Cricetulus griseus: one gene and its partner. The protein of the gene in region 1 purifies or fractionates together with the protein of each later gene. This does not show direct contact. Links are inferred from orthologs where the notes say so. Each region holds a gene or a part of one and is shown in the gene's direction. Other genes may lie near its edges.

Region 1 (4,405 bases):
CCTGCCTCGACCTCCTAAGTGCTGCAATTAAAGGTGTTCACCACCACACCTAGTTCAAAAGCTCCAGCTTATAATTATGAGTAGGTGCTGACTTTTATGTTAATTCATTCAATCAGCTATGAACTCAGCTTTGATCCCAGATGCTGGGACACACTAGGATACACTCTCTTCACTCAGATCTTAGCTATGTGATCTTGGAACTTACATGCTCACTATACTTCTCTAACCGTCTGTTTTCATTTGTTAAACCATGAGACTTTGAAAAATGTCTAGCACATAGCAATTTCTCACTGTGCTAGCTATGATCGTGATGTAGTCCAGGTGAGGGGGTCAAAGCATGTACACTTAGAACAAAGCAAATAAGAAAACCAGGTGCCGGGCGTTGGTGGGGCATGCCTTTAATCCCAGCACTAGGGAGGCAGAGGCAGCCGGATCTCTGTGAGTGTGAGTCAGCCTGGTCTCCAGAGCGAGTGCCAGGATAGGCTCCAAAGCCACTCAGAGAAACCCTGTCTCAAAAAACAAAACAAAAAAAAAAAGAAAAGAAAAAAGAAAAGAAGAAGAAAAAATAAAAACCAGGAATGTCTTCTAGTCTGGGATGGGCCTACAAATAAGTTTAACAACGATCAGGGAAATTGTACATTTTTTTTTGTGTGTGTGTGTGGGGGGGGGGTACACGCACTGAGACCAGAGGAGGATGTCAGATGTCCTGCTCAATCACTCTCCATCTTATTCCTTTGAGATCGGGTCTTTCGCTGAGCCTGGAGTTAAGCTGGCAACTAGAAAACTCCAGCGATCTTCCTGCCTCAGCCCCACAGCACTGGAGTTACAGACCTGGTCCACCAACCTGGGCTTTTTAATGACTGTTAGGATGGAACTCAGGTCCTCATTCTGGCAGAGCCAGCCCTCTTCTTACCTTTTGAGCCATTTCTCCACATCCCTCAATTTTTTTTTCTTTTTAAAAAGGTCAATACAACAGAAGATATAGTTCCATGACTTAAGTAGGCGGCTGATCCAGAGCCTAGCAACCAGGTGAGAAAAGGGTCCTCACTTCAGAAGACAGAACAAGAGCCAACGTGGAGGGAGGGCTGCAAAGGGTACGTGTCTTGAAGGACCCAGAGGAGCGCGCCCGGGGGAGTGGTGGGTGGGGGAGGGGTGTGTGAGCCAGGCACGGAGGGGCAGCGTGGCCTGGGCCAGCCACCTGAGCGACGCGGCCCTTCCCACACCCGGGCCCCGCGCTTTCTGCCTCAGTGTCCCCTCAGGATCCGCTTCTGGACGCTTCTAAACTGCCGAACTACCTCTCGCTCCCGCCACTCTTACCTCGTCTTCCAGTCTTTCCCTCACTCTCCCGCCTCCTGTACCTAGCCGGAAGTGACGAGTAAGTAGAGCGCCGCGCGGCGCCAGAAAGGTTCTGCGGGAGCGGGAGAAAGGGCTCCCGTGAGGCTTACTACGCCGGCGCGCGGGCGCGAGCGGTTAAAGCGCCTTTCGGCGTCCGAGGATCTGGGGTTGTTTCCTCGGCCTGCCCCCTTCGAAGTCTCTTGAGCGAGGCCGAAAGAGGCTGCTCCCTTCCCAAGGATCGTTTTCCTCCGGCTCCGAAGCCTCTCGGCGCCCGGCTGTGGCCCTTGCCCTTTGACCCCGTGGCGGCGGGGTGAGAGGTCGGGTGGCCATCTTGTGGCGGCGGCGCGGGTGGCTGTTACTGCGGAGACCTGTCCCCTCCCCCAGTCTGATACCCCTAGCTGTCTGTCAGTCGGCGGAGAGCCCCGCAGCCTGTCAGGGGAGGCCTGGGCCGAGTGCGGTCGATCTCCCCGTCTCACCGGGTGGCCCAGGCCGCTCCTCACCGTCGCCACCATGTCCTCCTTCTCAGAGTCAGCGCTGGAAAAGAAGCTTTCAGAGCTGAGCAACTCTCAGCAGAGCGTGCAGACCCTGTCCCTGTGGCTCATCCACCACCGCAAGCACGCAGGACCTATCGTCTCCGTGTGGCACCGCGAGCTCCGCAAAGGTGATCACCCCCAACCTTGGGCTCTCCCATGGGTGTGTTCCCCAGGCGTCTCTAGCTGCTTATTAATTAAGCCTTGCTTATGCAGGCCTGGGTCTCTGCGATTGGAGACAGTGTTATTGCATTGCTTGGAGAGGGAAACTGAGGCCCAGTAAGATGTAAGATACTCATCTGAGGTTCCAAGGGCTCAGATGTCCAGACTTGGAGTTAATTAAGCTGCTTTTCTTCTCAGGCTCCCCCTCACATTTGGCGACAGTTGTGTTTTTGTTTTGTTTTTAAATTTTGGCTGTTCTTGGAGCTTGGAGCATTACGCACCAGACCCTGTTACGGGCATTTGGAGTAAGATCCAGCGTTCTCTACAATGAGACCTGGTGCAAACAACTTTCTAGCTAAGTAATATTGGGCATGTCTCTTAATATCCCTAGGTCTGTGTATTCTTACCTGTAAAATGGACACAAAGTTAGTTGTACTTACAAAAAAGCCTTTACTCCATGTCAGTCACTATCCATAGACTTCAGAACAGCCCTGTAAACTGGGTAGCCTTCTGCACTTGCCAGTAAATTCAGACTCGCAGAATCTGATGTTCATTGAGTGAGCTCTGCCTGTTACTTTCCAGGCCCCGTGTTGGACTCTTAATAGCAAGTTATCTCTGGCATCTATTTGGAAGTTAAGCCTGTCTTTGCCACTTACCCCAACAGCTTAACCTCTGTGCTCTTTGTGTTTCCTTCTTTAGAAAATGGAGATGGTAATAATTTGTATTGCCGTGGCTTTATCATATGCCACTGTATGTAGGTTGCTTTTGTTTTTGCTTCAGGACAGGGCCTCACTATTTATTCTGCACTGGCCTGGAACTCCCTACGTAGACCATGTTGGCCTCAGAGATCCATCTGCTTCTGCCTCCCAAATGCTGGGATTAACAGCATGTGCCACTATACTCCATGGTTCTTTTTGTTGTTTTGTTCTTTTAATTCTCAGGGCGTTTTGAAGTAGGAACCTTGAAGATGGGAAACCCCAGGGTTCGACAAAGCCGATTGAGATAAGAAGCCAGGATAATCCAGTAAACATTTAGTGTGCTGTAGGCACAGTGCAGGCTTGCAGTAGAAATGGTGAGTTAGGACTATTGATTGCCCCGTGTTCGACTTGGTCTTTGCCTTCAGGTGGCTGCACTTGGGGTGGAGCAGTGAGCATAGCACATACAATGCTAACTCACATTGTGCTGAGGAAGTGTAGTGGAAAGTAACTCCATGTGTGTCTCTACTCTCTGAGGTAGGTAGCACCCTTTGTTGTAGATGAGGAAACTGAAGTGGATGATGGTATATTCAAGGGCTTTGAACTAGAGAGGCTATGCAGGCACCAGAATCCTGGATTTTTTTTTTTTTTTTTTTTTTTTTTCAGGAATCTAGACTCTAGGTCTCTTGCAGAACCTCCCAGTTATGATTTGCTATACTGAGATAGGAATCCCTTCAGCTCTCTGGAGCAGTTAGGTAGAGCCTGGGGTGCCCAGTCTGCTGTACCAGACTGTGTATCTACAACATCTGGGGAGATATGAGAAAACTGCCAGTGACCTCTGCTGAATTCTGTTTGGTAGAATCTCCTGATCATCTTGAAATTGTAGGCCCATCTCAACTTTCTTTTGCGAACCCTTCTCAGTTCCTTACTGTACCCTGTTTGAGTTCTTGAAAAATAGTAATCTAGAGAATACTTTCATTGCTGAAGCTTCTTTATCTCTAATCTTACCTGATAGAATCTTTTGTAGCAAGTAGGCTGGCATTCCTGTCCCCATTTTATAGATACAGCAAGATCAGTGGCTTGTTCAGGGGTCTGTAGCTAGGACATGCACCCAAGGAGGACTGATATCCAAGACTTGGACCTTTTCAAGTCCCTAGTGGTATTAATGAGTGAAGGTGGGCTGAGTGCAGCTAGCTCTCCTCTGTGGAATATTCTCTCCCGTCCCATCCCATCCCGTCCTTTACCTTTACTTCATTCTTGGTTAGTCTTTTTCACTAGGTTTGTTTTAATCAAGGCCTTCTAATGTGCTTAGAATTTGTCTATTACCTAGTTAAAAATTAGTTTAGTAGTTTAGTTGTGCCTCTGATGTTTTCATATTTGAGTTAAAGATCTAAGCAGCATTGCTTCAGCTATCTGTGGCAGTCTCGGTATTGTAGTATGTGTTTTCCACAGGGTAGCCACTTACTACATGTGGATATTGGCCATTTAAAATGGTGACAAAGGAACTATACTTTTGAATAAAATGATTAAGTTCCCCAGTTTTATTTGCTCAGTCAAATGTTGACTGTCCACCCATGGCTGATGGCTACCAGATTGGATCTTGCAGAACTGGAGTTCTTCCTCAAGCATTGAGGTGTGTGTTCATCTTCTACCCAGTTTCCCTTGTGAACTGAAAATGTCCCC
Region 2 (4,539 bases), on another chromosome or scaffold:
AGCTCTGGTTTGAAGAGTCAAGCTCCTTCCCATGAGATAACTCCTCCTCCTCATGGGGTAATCTGCCTTCAAAGCTCTGCTTTTCCTAGAATCAAAGGTGACTACAAGCTTAGGGCTGTGACTGGAGAACCTTGGATGACTTCCTGCTCTTCCTCCCCCTTCTTCTTCTGAGTTTGAAAGGAGACATAAAAGCCGAGGAAGATGCCTGCATTATCTTTGTGCCTTCTGCCTTGAAGGAGGATGAGCTGGGCTAGGTATCAATGGTCCTTAGGTAGACACTCCAGGGATAACAAGTCAATATGCAGAGCAAGGGGGAGCATGATGTGATTGGTGTTTGAAGGGTTCCAAAGCCCTCTGGCACCTGGCATTGTCTTCACTTGTCCCCTGGTGGCACTGCCATCTTCCATGTTATACAGTGAAGTTTTAGTGCTCATGTACCAATGGCTAGGCTGGCTCATACCTGTTACTCCAAAGACTAGGAGACTGAGTTATTGTTCCTGTTGCTGTGTCTACAAACCCGACAGAAGCATCCTCAGGAAGGGTTGGGATGTCATAGCAACAGGAGTGCCAGGCAGCTGATCACATTGCCACCTGCATCCAGGAAGCAGAACAAGATGGTTTCCTTTCCTCTTTTATTCAGTCTGAGGGCTTAGCCTCTAGGATGGCATCATGCACGTGGTGAGTCCTTAATGGTGAGTCCTTAATGGTGAGTCCTTCCTTCCTCAGTTAAACCTGTCTAGAATCTCACCAACACACTCAGAAGTTTTTGTTTTGTTTTGTTTGTATATACATTGTGTGTACACAGGGAGGTCAGAGGAATTGGTTCTCAACTTCTCCCACATGGGTCCTGGGGATTGAACTCATGTAGTCAGGCTTGGTGACACTATCTTTACCCACTGGACTGTCCTGCTGGCCCACTTGTCTGTTTCCACAATGATACTAAATCTCATCAGGTTGACAAAATGAACCATCATGGAGGCTGGAGAAATAGCTCAGCAGTTAAAGACTGACTACTCTTTCAGGACTAGAGTTGGGTTCCCAGCACCTCCAAGGCTGGTCTCCAAAGGCTCCTGTATGTACGTTCTGCACAGACAGGCAGATAGAAATCTTTAAAAATAGGAAAAATAGCCACAATAGCCACAAAGACGGCTGAAAAGCAGAGAGGTGCCAGGCTGTCATTGTTTTTTGGTTACCTGTGTGTCCAACAGAGGATCCGCTGGCACCCTGTCACTTTTACACACCTTCCTGCTCCTCATCCAGCCAGCCGGGGTCCTGCAGCAGCAGCTCATACACATACACAGCTTGGATTCCAGCTCAGTGAGCCAGTTGCAGGTGGCCCAGCCTTCCCTCGCTGGAATATGCGCCAAAGAGCCGCCTGGTGAAAGCCACTTTTTTTTTTTTCTTTTTGTTTGTTTTGTTTTCAAGACAGGGTTTCTCTGTGTTGTTTTGAAGCCTATCCTGGCACTCACTCTGTAGACTAGGCTGTCCTCGAAACCACAGAGATCCGCTTGGCTCTGCCTCCTGTGCTGGGAGGTGCTGCCCCTGGGGTTTGGACAGGATTTCTAACCTGCTCCGCCTCGCCTGCTCGTGCCTGCCGAAGGTCATCCGGTCCACCAGGGGGCGCGGGGCCAGGGGCTTTGATTGGCTGTGTCCTCGTGACCCGGAAGTGGTCGCGGTCCGGAGCTCAGTGTGGTAACGGCGGCTGCGGCTTGAGTCTGGGAGCCGGAGCGCACCTCTAGGATGAACGCTCCTCCGGCCTTCGAGTCGTTCTTGCTCTTCGAGGGCGAGAAGAAGTAAGTGGAGGCCGTTAGCTCTGGCGCGGTGAGCACTGTGCTTCGTGCGCGTCTGCCGAACTTCAGGCGGTGGTGCGATGTACGCCTGTGTTACAGCGGGGAAACTGAGGCCGGGGCACGTCGAGCCCTTGCTCCAGACACTTAGGAAGTGTCGGGGACTGTATTCGAACTCAGAGTGTCAGGCTCCCTTTTCACTGGTCTGCAGCCCCATTATCCATGCTGCGCAGCGATGGCTTTAGAGCTCACCCCCCTGCATAGGGTGCGATCGCCTGTGATTCCAGGACTTGGCGACTGAGGCAGGAGGATAATGATGGTAGCGGTGAAGGGACCGAGACACAGCTACCCTCTCACACTCCTCAGCAGCCTGAGGATTTCCTCTAGATTTTCAGGGATCTCGGCCAAACTCAGGTTCGTGGCTTCAACACTAGAAAGAATTTCAGGACTCGACGGTTTAATGACGCACTCAGGAGGCACAGGCAGACGGATCTCTGAGTTCAAGGCCAGCCTGGTCTATAGAGGTAGTTCCAGGACCAAGAGAAATCCCGTTCTGAAAAAGAAAAAAGGAGCAATCCTGTGTGGGAAAGGGTCCTTGGTGTGTATAGATAAGGTGCCATCACGGAGTAGAGAAGGTTCCTTGTTTTTTTGTTTTGGTCATGCTGGGGACTGGACCCAGGGTCTGGCCCATGCTAGGTTACTGCTCTATCAATAAGCTACACTCGAGCTTTTTTTTTTTTTTTGTAGTTTTCTTTTGGTTTTTCAAAACAGGGTTTCCTCTGTGTTGCTCTGGCTGTCCTGGAACTCGCTCTGTAGTGCAGGCTGGCTTCGAAGTCACAGAGATCCTCCTGCCTCTGCCTCCCAAGCGCTGGATCAAAGGTGTGCTCCACCACTGCCTGGCTCACTCCAGCTCCCCCTGCCCAACATTTGCTAGGCTGGGGAGATGGCTCAGTGGGTCACAGCTCAAAGCATTTGCTGAGGATTGGTGTGGATCTCCAGAAGCCGTGTCAAAGCTGTGCAATGTGCCTACTTCATTGCTCCTCCAGGGACGTGGAAGTGTAGATAGGAGTCAGCCAGCATGGTCTGTCAAGGAAGGCAAGGATGACAGTGTTTTTCTCTGCCCTCCTGCCCCCGTCACTGGGATTACTAGTCCCAGTGACTAGTCCCAGCAGGCCTACCTTGCTTGTTTTGTTTGGAGGGGGAGTGAGTGGTAGGATGAAACCCAGAGCCTTAAAAATTTGAGATAAATGGTGACCCATTGAACCATGCCAGAGCTCTCAGAGAGCCCTTTGGGGCGAGCAGACTGGGGATAGTGGGACTTGCAGAATGATGGCCTCCCTTGAATTGTTAGGGGGTTTGGAGACAAGCTGTTTTCTGTCTTCTAGGAAAGAATTTAGTCAAGAGCTAGTTTAAGACAACCAATTTGTATGAGGGAAAGAGCTGGATGTTTTTGTTTCTGGGGTAGTGGGAACAGCCCAACTGCAGTTTCTAGAATGTTTGATCACAAAGGGGACACCGATTTGAGAATCAGTGTCAGCATCACAAGAGCTGGATGTGGGGCCAGGGAAAGCTATCACCCTCAGCCTTTGCCTGTCTCATTGTAGAATCACCATTAACAAGGACACAAAGGTGCCCAATGCTTGCCTGTTCACCATCAACAAAGAAGACCACACTCTGGGGAACATCATCAAATCGTAAGTCCCAGGCCAGAGGCCTCGAGTGTCACCAGAGCTCTGTAGGCTGAGCACATGCCCTGGGACGGTTCCTTCCGTCTCTCCGCAGCTTGCTGGCACTTTAACCTGTCACTGACAGGTCTGTTCACATGCGGCTTGCTTTTGTTGGCTTTTTGATGTAGGGGTTCATGTAGTGTAGACTGGACTCAAACTGACTCACCTTACCATGGTTGCCGGGATCCTGGCCACGTAACACGTAACACATCAGCTTCCTGTTGGCTCATTCATGTAGTGTATAAGTTTGCAGTTGCCTCTTGGTCTTTTGGCCAAGATCAAGTTCAGGGGACTCCAGCAAAGCAGGTTTTCATTTTAGTGGGCATCAAGATGCTAAGAGGTGATGGGTATGGTGGTACACACCTGTAATTCCAGCACTCGGGAGGCAGAGGCAGATGGAGTACTTGTGAGTTCAGAGCCAGCCTGGTCTACATAGTAAGCTCTAGGACAGCCAGTTACATACAGTATCTCAAAAAGATAAAGCAAAGGGGGCCAGCAGTGTCACCTCACTTACCCCTACATTTGATAGAAAGCTGCAGGCATCGGCAGATTACCAAACTTTTGTTACTGGGTGATTGCCAGTGCTTTCAGAGCTGGGGGGGTGACAGACGGTCCCCACCTGACATGAGTGCTGGGAATTGACTCTGGCTCCTCTCCAAGAGCAATACTTTCTTTAAATTTAAAACACCTTTTGCCTATGTATGTCTACCGTGTGTCTGTTACCCATGAAGGTCAGAAAGAACTAGATCCCTTGGAGCTGGAGGTACAGGTGGTTAGATGCCACATGGGTGCTGGAAACCTTTTAACTAATCCAGTTCTCCAGCCTTCCCTGCATGTAATGTGCTGGGTCTGGTGGTTTGTGCCTTTAACCACAGCAGGCAGATCTCTGTAAGTTCAAAGCCAGCTTGGCCTACATTGAGTTCCAGGATAGCCAGGACTGTTAAGGAAACCCTGTCTGGAAAAACCAAAAAATATATTGTGAATGTAGTGTCTGAGTAGGGCTAGAAGAGGGTGTTGGATCCGTG

What was found.
Region 2: the proteins of Rprd1b (region 1) and DNA-directed RNA polymerase II subunit RPB11-a purify together in Homo sapiens (affinity purification with mass spectrometry; 3 studies listed by BioGRID and IntAct, counting the BioPlex papers as one, with this or other methods). This does not show direct contact. The link is inferred for Cricetulus griseus from reciprocal best matches to the Homo sapiens genes RPRD1B and POLR2J.

What each region holds. Positions count from the first base shown.
Region 1 is NC_048599.1:21,544,852-21,549,256, reverse strand, and holds the start of Rprd1b (regulation of nuclear pre-mRNA domain-containing protein 1B), read left to right. Parts: upstream 1-1,488; 5' UTR 1,489-1,845; coding exon 1,846-1,996; intron 1,997-2,968; exon of another isoform or gene 2,969-3,099; intron 3,100-4,405. UniProt on the Homo sapiens protein: Interacts with phosphorylated C-terminal heptapeptide repeat domain (CTD) of the largest RNA polymerase II subunit POLR2A, and participates in dephosphorylation of the CTD by RPAP2. Transcriptional regulator which enhances expression of CCND1.
Region 2 is NC_048597.1:115,110,820-115,115,358, forward strand, and holds the start of DNA-directed RNA polymerase II subunit RPB11-a, read left to right. Parts: upstream 1-1,636; 5' UTR 1,637-1,740; coding exon 1,741-1,793; intron 1,794-3,391; coding exon 3,392-3,481; intron 3,482-4,539. UniProt on the Homo sapiens protein: Core component of RNA polymerase II (Pol II), a DNA-dependent RNA polymerase which synthesizes mRNA precursors and many functional non-coding RNAs using the four ribonucleoside triphosphates as substrates.